Regions from separate parts of the Mus musculus genome. Here regions 1 and 2 are each reported to be linked to region 3. Evidence: microRNA targets listed by miRTarBase, many of them from high-throughput screens and not tested one by one. Region 3 holds a microRNA gene; each other region holds the end of a gene's coding sequence.
What was found. Region 3 holds the annotated microRNA mmu-miR-691 (AUUCCUGAAGAGAGGCAGAAAA, at 3,350-3,371, opposite strand). A microRNA usually pairs through its seed, bases 2 to 8, with sites in the 3' UTR of a target mRNA and lowers its output. Matches are read on the target gene's strand: a 7mer-m8 pairs with bases 2 to 8, a 7mer-A1 pairs with bases 2 to 7 and ends in A, and an 8mer does both.

Region 1: miRTarBase lists Dapl1 as a target of mmu-miR-691. Seed matches in the 3' UTR shown: 8mer at 1,221-1,228.
Region 2: miRTarBase lists Tnfrsf26 as a target of mmu-miR-691. Seed matches in the 3' UTR shown: 7mer-m8 at 3,704-3,710.

Annotation. Positions count from the first base shown.
Region 1 is chr2:59,503,659-59,509,716 of GRCm38, forward strand. It overlaps Dapl1 (death associated protein-like 1), which reads left to right. Exons shown (of 4, transcript NM_029723.3): 4 at 1,053-1,362. The coding sequence ends at 1,169. Among named protein-coding and RNA genes, the nearest start is that of Gm39831, 5.5 kb to the right of the region's middle.
Region 2 is chr7:143,604,840-143,610,897 of GRCm38, forward strand. Tnfrsf26 (tumor necrosis factor receptor superfamily, member 26) reads right to left here. Exons shown (of 8, transcript NM_175649.5): 8 at 2,846-5,221. The coding sequence ends at 5,205. Among named protein-coding and RNA genes, the nearest start is that of Gm15579, 7.8 kb to the left of the region's middle.
Region 3 is chr16:74,338,656-74,344,713 of GRCm38, forward strand. Mir691 (microRNA 691) reads right to left here and starts at 3,412; the gene lies at 3,335-3,412. The region is part of intron 2 of Robo2 (roundabout guidance receptor 2); the gene reads right to left.

The DNA.
Region 1 (6,058 bases), not on the chromosome of region 3:
GCTCCTCAGGGTCATAACAGTTTATCCGCTTTTATTTAGTTTGAGTATCAAAGCAAGGGCGTTCAAATTCAATAGTGATAAATTCAATGCTAGCAAGCCACGGCCCCACTTCCTGGCTGGCTAACAGCCCGGTCTTGAGGTACCTTGGGACACTATTGATGAGCTTGAAAACGCAAAACTGAACAGGCCCAAAGGTCACTGAGTTCGAACTCTTCCTAGGAAGAGTGTGTGCATCACTCAGCAGCTCCGAAGCCCTCTCATCTTAAGCATCACTGGATGTAAATCTCACAGGACCTTTGGTCAAAAGCAAATATCTGTTACTGGCAGCAAGTCTCCCGGCATGTAAGCCCACTTCCTCACAGCCAAGTCATGAGAATCATTTTCACCTGCAGCTAGTTGCTTTTCAATGTTCCTTCACCAAGCTGTTTAGTGGACTGGGAGGAATGGCCAACATCAGACTCTTTACTGAAAAAGAGTTACAATTTCAGATGTGCTGCCCTAACACGTAAACTGACACTTTGTAACTTCTTTCAAGGGCTCTTTTTCTCCTGATTGTTAGATAATTAATTGAAGAATCCACCCCCCCTTCCCAAACCTCTTAATACCTCCCCATGCTTGGTAGAATATAACGATCTATTCCACACGCTAATGCTAGAATCACTCTTACTTTACAGAGCATGGACACAGGTAATGCTTCACCATTTCTGCTTTTCAAAATGGGACCTCAGAGCAAATATATAGCATGGGGTGACGGCACAGGTTTCTGATCCCAGCCCTTAGAAGGCTGAGGCTGGAGGGTCATGAGTTCAAGGCCAGCCTAGACTTTGACTTATATATGTCATATACTCTTATGATGATGAAAGGTAAAGACACATTAGTGAAGGAAACAGTGTATCACACAAACACACTCCCCTCCATAGCCTGAGGATGGGCAGTGCTGTGGAAGGAGGGTCTTGGGGAAGGAAGGTCTTATCTAAGAAGTAGAGACTGCGACTTGACCAGTGGACCCAGTGGATCCGATATGCTTATTTCTTCTCCCTCTTCACCTTCAGCTCAACCATAAATTTCCAGCGACAGTTCACACGGCACATCAAAAGCCCACACCCGCTCTGGAGAAGGCTGCTCCAATGAAGAGGGCCTACATTATTCAGCAACCTCGAAAATGTTAGACCAGGACAGAAAACACAGCCACCTGGTCAACTCTCCCACAATCTGACAGCTCAGGAAAAAAAAAAAAAAAAAAAGAAAAAAGAAAAGGTCAATACTTCCTGTAGGCCTGCTGCCCTTGCTTGGTAAATAAACCAACTTTTGTATCTTCCCTTTTCCCTTTAGATAATAAAGTTTCCAAAATTATGAATCCAATACATACCTGTGCTCCTTTTGTTATGTATGTATGTATCGGGATCCTACCGGAACTCTCTATGTAATTCTGCAGCATGTGAGAGTGATCCAGAACACATAACTAGTCCATCTACCACAGTAGTTACTAAGGAGAGTGGGCCCTGCACCTCATCTGGGTATCATAGTAATGCTGGGTAAACTGACTGTAAGGACATGAGTGTGGGAGAGCTGGCCCTGCCACTTGTCTGCTATTTGGTGACATAGTCAAGGAAGAGATACCCCCCACACCTTGCCCCTTGCCACCTATGGCAGGCAGGAGAGCTGGCCCTGAGGTCATCAGAGCAGGAGAGCTGGCCTAGCCCACAACTGCTCAACACCTGGGAGAACAGCCGTGTACCTCTTTTGAGCTCAGGGTAGAGCTGGCCCAAGAGTGTAAGAATGGGAGAGCTGGTGGACTGACCAGCTCAGATACCTCTCAGGCTCAGATCCAGGGCTTTGAGTTGGCCTACCCAACATCTATCCCATTGATGAACTGCTAAAGTGCATGAAGGGGCTGGTCCTGTAGATCCAAAACTATAGGATCTCCATGACACAGGGCAACAACAAGGATCTCTGAGAGGAGTCCCAGAGAGGTTCCAATATTGATAGAGTAGCAGAAGCCAGAGGCCTAGTACCAGACTCAATGCAATGAACATTTGCAAGCATAGAAGTATAGACCAAAGGGTATACTGTGGGACACACTGACACACTACAGCTTCCACAATGAGATTTGTTTTCTCTGTTGGGGGTAAGCTGCAAGAGCAGAGAGGGCAGGTATGAAGGGAGGGGGAAGTGAGTGGGATTGGGGTGCCCCATGTGAAATTCACAAAGAGTCAATACAAAGTTTTTTTAAAAAGGAAAAGAAAATTAATTTGAGGCAATATCAAGCTTTCAGTCAATATCAACATGCATCCATAAAATAGTCCTAACCACTCCACCCTGGCTTAGCCCAGTTCCCAGTACTCTGAGCCAATGTCAGGAAATTCTAAGATTTAGGAGACAGGGTTCTGCTTCTGTCCCTTGCTGGTTCTAAAACCTTAAACTAGCTACTTACCCTCTGTGACCGTCGTCAAATGGATGCAATCACACATGTCTCCCGCAGCAGAAACCTTCAAGATAAAGTGACTGCTAAGACTCATCAAAGCTACTTAAGAGTAGTGAGCATACAGTAGAAGCTCCAGCCTGAGAATGCTAAGAGATGAACAGCAAAGGATGAAGCTCAATGTAAAGAATCCAGGGGGATGCCAAGGATTTGGGTCTGAAGGGAAGAACATGGGGTGCATAAGAGAAATGACAAGAGGGTCCTGTCACCCAAGGGGTATGAGACAAGAGGAAGGGCATCGTTCTCTCTGTCCAGAGATGAAGGACATCTTAGTCAGGGTTTACTGCTGTGAACAGACACCATGACCAAGGCAAGTCTTACAAGGACAACATTTAATTGGAGCTGGTTTACAGGTTCAGAGGTTCAGTCCATTATCATCAAGGTAAGAGCATGGCAGCATCCAGGCAGGCATGGTGCAGAAGGAACTGAGAATTCCACATCTTCATCTGAAGGTTGCTAGCAGAATATTGGCTTCCAGGCAGCTAGGATGAGGGACTTAAAGCCCACACCCACAGTGACAAACCTACTCCAACAAGGCTACACCTTCTAGTAGGCTGAGGATACACAAACCATAACAAAGGTTATGCCAAGATGGAGAATGCTCAAAAGCATGCGACACAGTGAGGACAAAGGCATTATTAATTCACATTCACAAGTGAGTTATTAGCTACACACCACCGGAAGCATCAAATCTGGTGTGACCTTTAGATCTGAACAGATACTGGAATTATCAGAAGAAAAAGGACCAGACCTATGAAAGAGTCTGTTGTTTTGTTTTGTTTTGTTTTGTTTAAAAAAAAGCCCAGCCTTTGATTTTACCAATGAAGACTTAGGAGCCAGATGCTGGGGTGAAAACCTGCGAGCTCGGAGAGGCAGAGAAAGCACCCAGCTGACCTTCCTGTTACACTAACATCCCAGAAGGAGAACGCCCACTCTCCTTCTCAACACTGTCTTAAATACCCTTCAACTCAAAGACCCTCCTTTCTCTTCGCTTATGTCTGCTCCCTGTTAGCTGGTTGCTTGCTCTGCCTCTTGACCTAAGTTTGATTTTATTTAGCTCTTGTGTTAAAGACGTGTGCTAAGGCTGAGCCACACCACAACAAGTTTTTCCCAGTTCACAAGCTTGGGGTTCACAGTGTGATCAAGTATCCTGCAACAAGAGTCAGTCCCACAGTGATAGGGCCATGCATGCGTACAGGCAAGGGGACTTCTCTATCACCCAGGGAGGACAATTCTTCATGGATGCTCTGTGACTTCCCTCAGGAGCTCCTGCTGTCAGTTTCCAGACAGACTCACAGCAGTTAGAAAGGGGTATCACCAGGCTGGGGATTTCCTGGTAGACAGTCCCTTCGGATTACTTTAGGTCAATAGAACACTCTGGGTTCAAAGATAAGAGTAAGAAACTTTCCCTGCCACCAGGAGCTCCCAGGACAGTGATAGAGCCATGGCTGTACATCAATAGAAAGCAAGGGTTGGTGCGTGTTTTAGGAAAGGATGTTATGAATGAAGCTCACGAAATCTCTTAAAGGTCATGTTCAATCGAGAAAACCATGGTGCCTGTGCAGACCAGTATAAGCCATGTCTAGGAAGTTAGTAAAACACTTTAGTTACACTATACTTTTAGAAATAACATACTGAAACACTGCTAGAGTTCACTATACTTCTGTACTGAAATTTTCAAACTTCCTCAAAGCTTAGGCCAATATAGCTATTGAACCTTCATGTGTTCATTACAGAGCTCCGACAATGTGACCAGTATTGTTTGCACCACGACACCCAGCTCCTTTCCTTCCTCCTGGGTTATTTCATAGCATGCTTCAAATACACAATCTCCTCTAGCCATGTTTCAGTATGTTATTTCTAAAGGATGAGTGTCTCTTCCCTTCCCTCTTTCCCCATTTCTTTGTCTCTGCCCTATACTTAGACAAGGCTTTTCACGAAGACTATGGAATAGAAGATAGTATTTTTGTAAACCATCAGGAATCCTTTACCATAAAATGGTGATTGCTGTTGCTACGCTCAACTACAAGAGCCAAACCAAGCAATCGGAAGACACAGGGCTGAGCCCAGCCCATGACACTGGAGCTGCATCGGGGAGAGTGAAGGATGGAAGATGGCTTTCAGACAGGAGGAGTGAGCAAAGGATATGAGAGGTTGCAGTACGTGAACTAGAAGGATGGAAAGAAAGCCGGAGAAAAGGAATTCTTGCTGAAAAGAATAAAGAGCCACATCTGAGGCCTCTCAAAAACCCAGGGTTGGAATAGACACCAAAGTAAACAAATGAATGGTGGATAAAACTGTATTCGCTCTGCACATACTTGGATGGCGGTCTGTATGAACTGTGATCTTCAGAAGGGGCCCAAGAGCAAGCCTTGCATCTGGCTTTTGTGGAGTTTGAAACACTAACATCTCTATGTCAGCTGGAGTCACTACCCACTTCTGAATAGATATGATTACCTCCCATCCACCCATGTGACCCTCTTACACACATACACACATCTAACACACACATACACATACACACACATCCATCACATGTGCAGTGGAAGCTCAAAATGTCCTCAAGAAGGCTGGGAATTCCCAGTAGTCACCTCTGATTGATGATAAATTTTTTCATTGCTTTCTGCCCCTGTCTACCACCCTATTCTAGATGCCTAGTTTTTTGTGCTGTCTGTCCCACAGTCTTCCTGTCCTTCTTCTTCTCATCTCCCCGACTCGAGCCAAATCAGCCATCAGCTATTTCTTGGGTACTTCAGAGAGTCGCTTTATCCCAACATAGCTTGCCAGCCCCAACAAGTTTGCCATCAACTGTCAGGACGTTATGATGGCATCCAAATATGACAGAGTAGCTAAGTGATGAATAATTAATTAGAAAACGTGAAATGACAGAACATAAGCCAAGGGAAATGAGAGGTTGAGAGAAAAAGAGCAGAAAATTTTCAAAGAAATAGCCAAGGCCTGAGAGAAAAATAAGCCTCTGGAAGGCTAAGTGGTCTCTGAGGTTAGGTGGGGGAGTTTCTCTGGGCATGCCTTAGCCTCAAGTCTGCAGTGGCCTCTTCCATCCCATAAGAACAAAGGCGAGGGAGGAAGCTGAGAATTCTCCAAATAGACAGGCTCCGCTGTAATTTTGACAAGAAACAGAACTGAATTTGAAGAAAGAAATCTTTGAGTGAAAAGACTGGCTGGGGAAGTAACCAAATTCCCCCACAGGGCAAGAGCCGCACAAGCTCGGGCTTCTAGTGTTTTGTTGAAAAGGTGCAGGTTGGAAGCTGAAAGATCATGAAAGTGAACAGGAGTTAGGCAGGGGGGGGGGGAGATCCAATGCACTGATGTGAGCCCTCAAAGGGACCCAGAAAGATAAAGGGAAGTTTGAACAAGATCCCTTGCCTGTGTACAGCAGAAGGCTTGAGCCAGGGAGACGAACCAGGCACAGAGGAGACAAAGAGTCACCTCTTCATTAAAGCCTACATCTTCAGACTGCAAGGTATAGTGACCAAATGTAGAGTTTCAAAACAATCAATAATTATAACGATGTAGTTTGGGTGACACCGGACCTCAGGTACAGATGGGCTCTGG
Region 2 (6,058 bases), not on the chromosome of region 3:
TCACGTACCTGTGATCCCAGCACTTTGGAGGCTGAGGCAGGAGGATGATTTGCTATACAGACAGCCTGTAAAGCTTTCATTGAGAGTGTAGAATCCAAAATAAATTCAAGACCACCCAGCCCCTTTCCCCTCTGAAGGGACTTTCCAAACTATATTAGCAGGCCAAGTGCAGAACCAGATAAGAAAGCTGGCCGACTAAACAATGCTGAGAAAAAAAAAAAAAAAAAAAAAACAAGGGCAGGCAGAGTGAGGCACTAGGCCAAAGGTAGTCACCCCATGCAAACCAACCAATGCCTGAAAGGGTCACTTGCTACACTAATTAGAACAAGCCAGCTAGCTCTGTTGCCTAAATCTGCCCCTTACAAGGTAGAAAAAGTGTGCTCTTTGTTCCTTTGGGGTCTCCTCTTGCCTGAGTGCTGAGGGACCCCAACACGTTTGGTCAATAAACCTCTTGCAGTTTGCAGTGATCTCTGTCTCAGGTCTTTGTGAGTGAGGGTCTTTCAGTGGACTCCAACAAGGGTAAATCTAAACTCAAAGGTAATCTGTGATTCAGTTTATCTCTGTTTGGTGATCACAAGTCTCTTCCGAATGGAAACCACTGTAGTCTGATTTCCCAAAGGAAATGCCTTTTGCTGTACCATTTTAGGGAAGTATATTCACAGGAAGCTCTGACCACTTTTGACCTCTAAGGCTGTAGATAAGGCCTACACTCGCAGTAACCCAGTAACCCCACTCAGCCTTTTAATATACCAAAATGTAAGATAGGGTTCTCTTTTCCATGTATAAGGAACCCAGAGAGTCCATGTGTCTCTCTGTGCATATCACTGCTCTTTCTTCGGGACTCCAAGCATTAACTTTTGATGTGGTGGCTTTTACAAATGACTGTGTGTCTGAGGCTTGGACTGCACAGATAGCCAGCCTGGGCAAAGAGTGAGATCCTGTCTGAAAAATCAACCCCAGGGGCTGGGATGATGCCTCAGCAATTAAGAGCATATGCTGTTCTTTCAGAGGACCAGAGTTCAGTTCCCAGCGCACAGTTGCTTTTTAACTCTAATTTACAGGGGATCCGACCTCTCTGGCCTCCAAGGACACCTGCACTCAGGTGGATATGCCCCCACCCCACCCCCCACAAACACACATTAATATGATATTAAAACAACAGCCAAATGTAGTGGTGCACACTATTAAAAGGCACTTGTCTAGGGTTACAGAGTGGAATTCTGTCTCCAAAAAAAAAAAAAAAAAAAAAGGTAAAAAAAAAGTGTCTGTCGATGGTGCACACCTTTAATCCCAGCACTCTGGAGACAGAGGCAGGCAATTCCCAAGTTTGAGGCCAACCTGGTCTACAGAATGAGTTCCAGGACACCCAGGGCTACACAGAGAAACCCTGTCTAAAAACAAAACAAAACAGAAACAAACAAAAGACCTATTGGGTATGATGGTGTATATTTTTTTAATCCCAGCACTCAGGAAGCAGAGGAAAGCCAGCCTAATCTACAGAGTATGATTGAGTCTCAGAGAGGGGACAGGGGGAACACTTGACAAAAGCAGGGAAAGTGTGTTTGGGCTCACAGTTTATTTACACCTTAATTAACTGGATCTAGAAATTTCCTGAGAGGTATGCCTGTAGTCACCTCCTGGGCGACTCTAGATCATTGTGGGAAGCCACATGTGCCATTGCAGGGTGGCGCTGGTTACCGCTGGCCACCACGCATACATAGGCAGTAAAGTTTTTTTTGCCAAGATGAGGTTTTGAGAGTTAACCAATCAGATGAGAGACAAGTTAACCAATCAGATGAGAGACAAGTTAACCAATCAGATGAGAAAGAAGTTAACCAATCAGATGAGAGACATGTTAACCAATCAGATGTGAGACATGCAAATGAGGTGGTAAGCATAACCCATGCATAACCAATCCGGGTGTGAGACACGCCTCTCCTAGGCCTATATAAGCAGCACCAGTTCTGGGATTAGGGTCTCTTCGCCTCTGCAATCAAGCTCTCCCAATGTGCAGAAGGATCCTGTTGCAGCGTCGTTCTTGCTGGCGAGCCAGGGCATGCACAAGAGATCATGTTGTACTGAAAACCATAATTAACCCTCAGGGGGCTAGATGGATGACTCAGTGGAACCTGGGTTCAATTACTGGTATCCATGTAGCTTATAACCAGTTATAATTCCAGCTCCAGAGTTTCCAAGGCTTTCTTATGGCTTGCATGGCACCAGGCATGGATGTGGTACATAGGCACATGCAGGGCAAAACCCCTTGTCCTGGTTAGTTGTTTTTTGTTTTGTTTTGTTTTGTTAACTTGCCAAAAGCTTGAGTTATCTCAACATTTCAACCATATTTGAAAAATTGCCTCCATAAGACAATAGGCAAGCCTGTGGGACCTTTTATTTTTTGAGACAGGGTCTCTCTAGTCTCTGTTCTGGGACTTATATGTAGACCAGAATGGCCTAGAACTCATACAGATCTGCCTGCTTTCCATTTGGAGATTAAAGATTTGGGCCATCACACTTGGCTACATTTTGTTGAAAAAATGATTGATGTGGGAGGGCCCAGCCCACTGTGGGTGGTGTCACCCCCTGGGCAGGTGGTTCTGAGGTATGCAAGAAAGCAGGCTGAGAAAGCCATAAGGAGCAAGTCTTCCTCTGTGGTCTCTGCTTCAGTTCCAGCCTCCAGGTTCCTGCTTGAATTCCTGCCCTGACTTTACTTCGTGATGGACTACAAGGTGTACAACGAAACAAACTCTTTCCCCCAGGCTGCTTTTGGTCTTAGTGTCTGCCACAGCAATAGAAACCTAACTAAAACACATCATTACATATCAAGTAAAATGTTTTTTAATTAAGAATCAACCATCACATAATACAAAGAAAAAGGAAATGGTCAAAGCACATACTGTGATATTGTACAACTTTGAGCAGAAGCACCACCTTGGTAGCATTAATATTTCAAAAAGCTCAAAGCACACAAACGGGTCTTGGGGCCTGACATCATCCCTAGTCCTGAAGTAGAAGCAAAAACACAGCTTTCAAAAGGAATTAGAAATACTTTATTTCGTACCCAAATTTCAGTGACCATGGCCCTAGAAGCATAGATTTAGGTACCCCAATTTCATGGCTCCATGGAGTTTTGTAGAACAGAACAAAAAGTTATAAAGTAAGGCGTTCTTCAGACACACTAGAGGAAGGGTTAAACGTTACAGCACAGTGATAATCTCAGCTCTGGCTTCAGATATATGACAGCATTCACAGTACTTGGACTGGTGGAGAATAGTTTTATCAAGTGAATAGTTCTATAGTGTTGGTTAGTTTGGTTTGGTTTGGTTTGGTTTGGTTTGGTTTGGTTTAAATCTGTTGTCAGGATGTTTGGGGATCTCTGCAAACACCAAGGCTGGCAGCCTAATGATCCATTTGAGGCCAAAAGGAAATCCAGTTCAACACAACTTAGCCTATGCTAGGTCAAACTTCTAGAGTCTGACCCCAGCAGTTTACTTTAGCTGTATTTAAGCACAGCACAAATTTCCGGGGGAAGTTTTTTGATGATAATTAACTCGGTCACTTATGTACAATAATGCTTAAGACAGGTTGACATTGACACAGTTTACAAAGTACTTATGGCCTCTTCCGTAAAGACGGGATCTGTTAGCTTGGCATGGTGATGCACAACTTCAATCCCAGCACTTGGGAGGCAGAGGCAGGTAGATTCCTGAGTTTGAGGCCAGACCGGTCTACAGAGTGAGTTCCAGGACATCTGGGGCTACACCAAGAAAACAAACCAACCAAACAAACAAAACAAGATAAGTTTGGCAGAGGTAGAGGTCTATTGACTCACAAACAGTGCTGGAGATACAGGTCTAAGAAGAAAAAATCTGGGATAAACACATATAAAAATCGGTGGCAGTCAAGAGTGGCCTGGCCCTACAGGTAGCACAGAGGTCCCCTAGGCTTTTCTAATATACAAGTGACAGTGACATCTCCTATAAGGATGAGATTTATTGAGCAACAGTATTCAAGAAAAGGGCCTATTGGCAGGCAAAAGGCCTATGGAGGAAGAGTCTGGGATAAACAAAGACAATAGTCTGTTCAAGTGTGTGCTAGGTCTACAAATAGCACAGAACACCAGGATGTTAACTATATCCATTCCCAGACATCTGGGTGGAAAACAGGTCTACTTCTCTGTGAGCACAAGAACCTTGTGCCCTCTACAGCATGTTAGTTCTGACCCAGAGGGAGGCAAGACATTGCTTAGGTTGGAACAGCCTAAGCTATGCCTCTCTACATCATTAAAATGTTAAGCCAGGCAGTGATGGTGTATGCCTTTAATCCCAGCACTCAGGAGGTAGAGGCAGGTGGATCTCTGTGAGTTCCAGGTCAGCTTAGCCTACAAAGGGAGATCCAGGATAGCCAAGGCTACATAGAGAAATCCTATCTTATTAAAAACCAAAAATAAAATAAAATAATAATAAATTAATCAATTAACTTATGTAGACATAGCTTCTGAGAAATTCCCATTCACACCTCCATCTGCTCACTGTGGGTTGAGAGGACTAAAGACTAAGGCTAGTTCTGAGATGCCTGGGGGATGGAGAGCCTAAAAACACAGACACTATTCCCAGTGTCTGATGTGGCAAAGTCCACAGTTGCTCAGGCTGGCCTGCCAGGGGCTTTGTTATGGGTTTTTATGGATAACAAAGCACCTTGTCTGGGCCACATCCTGATGTGGGCTCAAAGGACAACATTTTTGGGTCCTCCCATCCTTGCCTTCTAGGAAAACATACTGAGCACCATGAACCCAAACTGACTTTAGCTTACGAGTTCACAGCACAAAACCTCCTAACTCTGAGGCCAGCCAAGGCAGGCTTCAAGGAGAGAAGCCCTCTGGCTGCATACAGAGAGAAACCCTCTGGTCTTCACAAGAGAGAAGGGCACATCATATATCTGGGGGTCCACGGGGTATGCAGTGGGATGAATGTCAGCTCCAAATTCAGATGGGCTATTTGGAATGTTTCAGTCCTGTATCAAAGGACACTTGACTCTAGCTCGAGGGTGAAGCAAACACAATTTTTAGCAGCTAAGTTGCCACAGTTTGCAAATACATTCCTGCAAGGTCAGTCTCCAGTTTAGAAACAATAGTGTTCATTGCTTCCTCGACTTCCTTAAATCCAGTGATCTTCAGGAATGCCATCTGCTTACTTTCCGGAGCTTCATAGCATAGTGGAGGCTGGAAAATAAAACACAAAGTGAACACACACACACACAACCAAGGGTCGGTCTATTTATATCTCTTGAATGTTGAGGAGGAAAGTTGCAGTGGTTCTGTGATTCTGCTTCTCAGGATAGGAGAGGCTCTTTGTGTCCTCAAGTAATACCCAGTGGTCAGGAGACCCAGGCTGGGACAGGGCTGATCAAGACTGTCACTAACCTATTATCCATCTGTTACTCAGGTGGCAGAAAGCAGCGAAGCCTGACATGGAAAGAACTAATGGTGTCTAATGGAAGCCTAATGGAAAGAACTTCTGGTGTCTTCTAGGAAGGCCAGAGGCTCCGGGTGAATAGTTTATGGAGGTTGACCTTGCCCTTCCTTATCCTAATGAAGCCTCCAGCATTCAGGGAAGTGCCTGGCAAGGTGGTTAGCCCCACCCAAGGCATGTTGAGAAGATGAGATGCCGTGTATTTGGAGGGCCAGCCAGGGAGAGATACACCATGTGACATCAGGATCTGACCAGAGAGATTCTAAGACAAGCCTACCCTGGGGTGATCTATGGCTTCCAAAAGATAAATCCATGTCCTGACCCGTCTCCTGTAGCTAGGGTCTTAGTTGGATAGATTTTTATAGGTGAGGACATACTCCAAGGACTGGTCAGGCAGAGAGAGGGCCATCTGAAGATGATGGCACACAGTTTAAGCTGCCTCAAGCCAAGGACTGACTAGCTCTAGGTTTAGATTTCTAGCCATGAGAATGAGGAGACAGTACATCCCTGATGAGCTGACCCCCACTTTGCAGTCATCTGTTACAACATCTCAAGGAACTCTTTATAAAGATAACACACCTCCCTTT
Region 3 (6,058 bases):
TATAGCAGCACCCTTTAGCCCCCATGCTTTCTATGTAACTTGGGAAAACTGACCTAAGTGGAAATTATACAAGGAAAGCAACTCAGTCTAAGGTATTAAAACCAAAATCTTCTGTAACTTCTACCTCATCTATTCTGTTGTTTTGAACACCAGTTAATTATTCATGTCTTTCCTTTAGAGCTCTAGTGTATGAAGGCAGGCTAATATTCAATGAGAGAAAACACATGTAATTCAGTAGAACAACTCAGGGTAGAACTCCATCAGACACCCCAGAGTGGAAATGATAATTTGAAAATCAGGCTGGAGAATGTTCTCCTCTGGAAATGGCCTTCACTCATCATGTAGGAGGAGGTATTCAACATTGCTGAATATGGACGGTTCCATGACAAGCCCATGCCTCACAAACATTAATCACAGTTAATGAGATAAAAGCTCTAGTCATCTGTGACACTGGGTAAGCGATAGATCAGCCATCTTTTCATTGACTGTGCCAACAGCTATGTGATTATAAAGGCCAACCGTCACCCCTGACCAGGAGTGGGCCAAGCTAGGAGACTAGCTACATGACATTGAGGGGTGATTTCTGCAGCAGGATTCATGGTGCTGCCTAAGGCACTTTGTCGGTGTTAAACTCTCTATGCCTTACTTTGCCACCGCCATGCACCAGCAGCTGAGGCTGAACACTCGTGAACTTGTTTATTCACACTTGTTTAATCCTCCTTCTATACACTGACTCACAGCCTGTGGGGTTAAGAAGATGGATGAGAAGAGCAAGGGCCATGAAGGGGTCAGGGTCATGATGTCATTAGATCTCATTAAGTACATCACTCAAGACAACAGTCACTCCAAAGGTCAGAGCACGTGAGAGCCCTGCTCTAGGTAAAAGAAGATGTGTTGAACAACACGATCCAGTCCCTCTTTTCCGCTGATGCTACATATGACAGCAAACAGTTTCTACATGGCTACTAGAATTCAAAATGCCATTTTATGGAAAAAAAAATGGTTTTGAAGAATGAAGAATAAAATACCTTTAAATTCTTCAGAAAGTATGTGATTCATTTTAAAGGGGACCATAAAAATTTGGTTAGTCCATGAACTACCATTGACCCTAATAATTTACCCTGTAAAATTAGTAAAAAATTTTAAATGTGTTAGTTTGGTCTCTAAATGTTTCATATGGACTAGTAGTCACAAATATATCATAAAAAAAGTGAAAATAAACTTTTCCTGTAATAGTGCACCAGCACTTTATTATTATTATTATTATTATTATTATTATTATTATTGTCATCATCATCATCCTACCATGTTATAAGCTAAGGGTGTTATGGAGGACTTCCACCATTGTATTTTGGAAGGATGAGATTAATGAGATTAAAAATTAGGATATATCTGTTTTCAGAACATGTGTTAAAGCTGGGACTTGTGTTCTTTAAATGTTGCTTGAAGACATATTTTTAAAAGGGGGTAAAAGTATCTTATTTGACTGAATACACTTGTTTATTTATATTTGTAGCATTTTCATCTTTTACTACAATATTAAACAAAACTGAATCAACTCCACAGAGTACCTATAACTATTAAGGTTACTAAAATCAAAGATGTAGAAAAATGGTACGTAATTATGAAGATAAATATAAGAATTTCCTCAAGCTTATTGAATTTATAAACCAGTAACTTGTATATAAACAGTAAAATAATGCAAATAAATTATTTTTAAAAAACTAATATAAATATCCATAGAAAAGCAACCATATATACTAAAACTAATATCAAATGTATTTGTTTTTTCTCAGACATATATTATTTGAAATAGTATAAAAACAATTCTTTATAAAATCATATTTTTGATTAGTTCTTTGATAAATAAAATCTATGAATTTTTACTAAGTAAAATTCAATATATAAGTCAAATAAATAGATCAAAATTTTTATTTTGCTTTAGAAAAAAACAAAACAGAATTTAACCTATACTAGGAATTTATATCTATACATGTTATGCTTCACCAGACAAGAAATATTGGCTTAAGACATATATAATTTTTCAAAAAACAATTTACGTTAGACCTGCATGGGTGGTTGAAAAAGAAAAATGACTTAATTCCATGGCCACAAGGTGAACAAGGGCTGTGCATACACGCACACATGAGTGGTTGATGCCTCAAAAGACATGTGAGATTAAGGGAAAACTCATTCTATTCATGACATTATCAATTGTTGTCAACTAGAGTTCACATGGAGAAATACTGAAAAAGAAAAGAAATAGTATCCAAATAAACAGCAGTGTTTTTTTTTTTTTATAACAACTAATGTAATAGCAAATTCAAAAGTACTGGAGTCAAATTTGCTTGATATTTAGGGCTGATAACTCAAAAGTTCTTGAAGAAATTTCCAGTATATTCAATTCAAAGTTGCATATTCTCCTATTAAAGATCTTACTTGGTCTCCTCTTCTCGGAAGAAGAAATGCTCTAGTCTGGTCATTTTATCATATACTAAGAAAACAAATGCAGAAAGTTAAATGGTTTGACAAAATCACTGGCTAGTTAATCACTGGACAGGACCCAACGTGATGGTTTCAACTCACACAACTATCCTTTCCCTATATAGGTGACTGATGCACCTGGCTACCTCATTTGTAGATGAAGATAACTTCCTGTACCCACTGCAGGCTTTCGTAAGTCGTTTCATCTCTCTATTCCACTTTTATCTGCTTCAAACTGATGTAGATGCTCTCTGAGGTTTCTGACATCTCACTTGCAACTGCTTGCATGGTTTTATAGTCACCGGACCCACAAATTCTCTTTCTTCCTCACACTCTAGGTTTAACCTCACATTCATTTCTTGCAAGAAACTTCTATGAATGCTCCCATAATTAACATCAAACCCAAATGGAATGAATGGGAGATTATCTTATGCACAGGGTAAGGGCCCTTAAATAAGAATGAATAATGATCATATTTCCCAGATGACATCTAGGGCAGCCCTCAAGTGTGATTAACTAGACCACTCCTCAGCTCTCCTTTGCCACAGAAATTGAGCAGTTCATTTGCATGTCATCTGATGTAAGGAGAGACTCTCGCACATAATGGGTTACTACCAATGGGTACTTCATTAGTAAAGCATTTTCTTATGATGTGTCAGAAAAAGGAAAAGGTGAAATAAATTGAGATTCTGGCATCTCTACAAATAACATAGACATTTGAAGATTAGACTCCATCAGCTTATCCAAATAATTCAGGAAGGTTTTCTTAAGTTGACCCATTTATAGGTACCGCCTTTTAACAAGAGGATACTGATAGAAACCACCATTCTAAAATGAAGATCCTATATGGATATTAAATATAACATTTTCTGCCTCTCTTCAGGAATATTCAAAGCAGACCCAAGGAAGAAAGCAAAAATAAATCAGCAAGAAACTTTCTTTCAACCTTCTCTTCAATACAGACATGGGCATCCTAGGAAATTATATGTTCTAAATGAAGGGCTGTTTTACAAAATGTATTTAATTTAATTGATTATAATCTCCAAGGATTTCAAAATAGATATTAAGATAAAAATTCACAATTTTCCTGGGAATTTTTCCCATTGAATTGTGATTAAAGATGATAAGAAAAAGAAGAGAAAAAAATCATGAATTTAATTTCAGTTTGTGGGGTTTCTTGTAAATAGAGAAGTAATAAGAATTATTTCATAACTGAAAAGGGTATGAGATTCTCAGCCTCGTGATTTGTTTCATTTCCTTTAGAGGGGAATATACAAGGTGAAGCCACATCAGCAAATTTGTACTTCAAAGATTACATTCATTAGGTAAAATACCCTACTAGCTTGGTTAACCTTTAAGCCATTATGGTCCAAGGAAAGAAGACCCATCAAATCATGGCCCACAAGAATCCTGTGAGTCTGAAACTTCCACTAGTTTTTCCTTCTCTGTCTACTCAAGCTTCATAGAACGCCATTTATTTTCTATTTCATAAAAGAGCTCACGGTCTGCTTGCAAAACCGAGAGGAACCTACAGATGACTTTATGTGTCTATTGATCAAGGATCAAAATTCCCTACTTTTCAGCTTTTTCCCATAACCTTACATACTTGGCAGCTGTCTTCAAGTAGGCTTCCAGCTTTAATGGTGAATTTAAACAATACTCAAAATGAGCGTTTACAAGAGTAGTTACTGTCGCACAGGATAAAGCTGAATTATATTTCTTAATTTAAATTACTACTATATTAAGAAGACTTAAAGCTAGAATTTCTATGGTCCAGATGTGTTGAAATCTGTTCACTGCATCATGGATCTGACTCCGTTATGGGTCCTGTCCTCATTTTAACTTCTTTTTATGTTAATTCTATGGTAGTATTAAAGCCATGAAACTTCCACAGAATAATGGATGTATGGAGTTTTATTCCATTGATACATCTATACACTAGCATACCTAGCATAATAACATAGATACAGAATTATGTTGTGTCTATAGTCTCCTCCCACTATTCCTTCTGAGTCATAATCAGTCCTGCCTGACTCCATATCTTTGACTTTTTAAAACCACTAATCTGCTTTCTATCGTTATAATTTTCTGATCCTGAGAATATTATGTAAATGGAATTTTATAGCATTCGACCTTTTGGAATGCCCTTTAAAATGCCATTTTCAGATCCACCATAATACCCATGAGACCCATCTGCATCGTTCTGTATATCAATAATTCAATTCTTTCTATTGCTGAGTAGTATTCCATAGTGTGGATACAGACTGCTCTGTTTAATCATTCATTTCAATGAGGGACAGTTCAGTCCTGTCTTACCTTCTGCTATCACACATACATCTAGGATTGTGTGTTTGTGTGCATGTTAACATTTCTTTGATGTAAATGCTTAGATGTGCAATAAGATGGTAAGTAGAATTTAGTGCTCATGGACCTGATAAACTGTATTGCATTGTGAATATACCTCTTTGGGTTTTTATCAGTAATGCATGTAGAAATCAGTTACACTGCATCCTCACAAGAATTCTGTAATGAAACATATATACATCTTTTTTGATAGTCTTATTGCACTTCCTATGGACAACAATGCTTCACTGTGCTTATGTGCCATTAAGAATATGTGTAACATATCTCATTTTATTTTGTGTGTATTTTATCATTTGTTGTTTATGTACTGTATAGACATGTATATATCTATATATTCTCAGTCTGAAACTAATCTTTTTATATTCTTAAGGAAGGTGGGATATTTCAGAAGATTCTAATTTTAATAAAATCAATCATGGGCATTGTTTTTCCTTGTTGATAATTATATTTAGGTAGATGGTTTGGGGGTTGTTTGTTCTTCTTTCTATGTTATACTTTAGAATTATATAGTTTTAGCTGATACTTTAAATATATGATCTATTTGGAATTAATCTCTGAAGTATTTGTTCACTTTCTATTTGGCCTATGGATATTTGCTACTTTTGGCATTAAACATTGAAAACATTGGATTATTTTCTAAAATTAAAAACTAAAGAAATACAATAATTGAAAAGTCAAACTGGCCAATGTTAATGAAATTATATGTTGACCTTAAAAACTATGATAACCAGAAGAGGTTTATAGACACACATAGCAGCAAACACAAAAGAACCATGAAAATATTAATGAGTCAGAAAACTCTTAAAAGTTATAAGACATGGCTGCTATTGTGATACTCTTATTTTGTAAACTTAGTCCACTTCTCTCTGTATCTGAAATCACAGATGACTCATTTTATAAATTGGATTGTTAATCTTCAAGACATCTTAACCTCCAAACATGTCAATAACAACTGAAAGTGATGGATTTTCCTGATACTGATATTTGACAACTAGGAACTGTAAAGAGAAAATCAAATTACTTGAATAAACTAATGAGCTCTCAACTGTCAATATATAACTAAACAAAACATAGAAAAGTATTGTTTCTTTTCTTTAATATCTTACACAACACAGAATATCTAAACCAACACAGAATCTTCTATCTCTTCTCATCTCTTCAGGTATCTCCATTGTGTACACACAACTGGGCCATGGTCTCTAGATAAAAT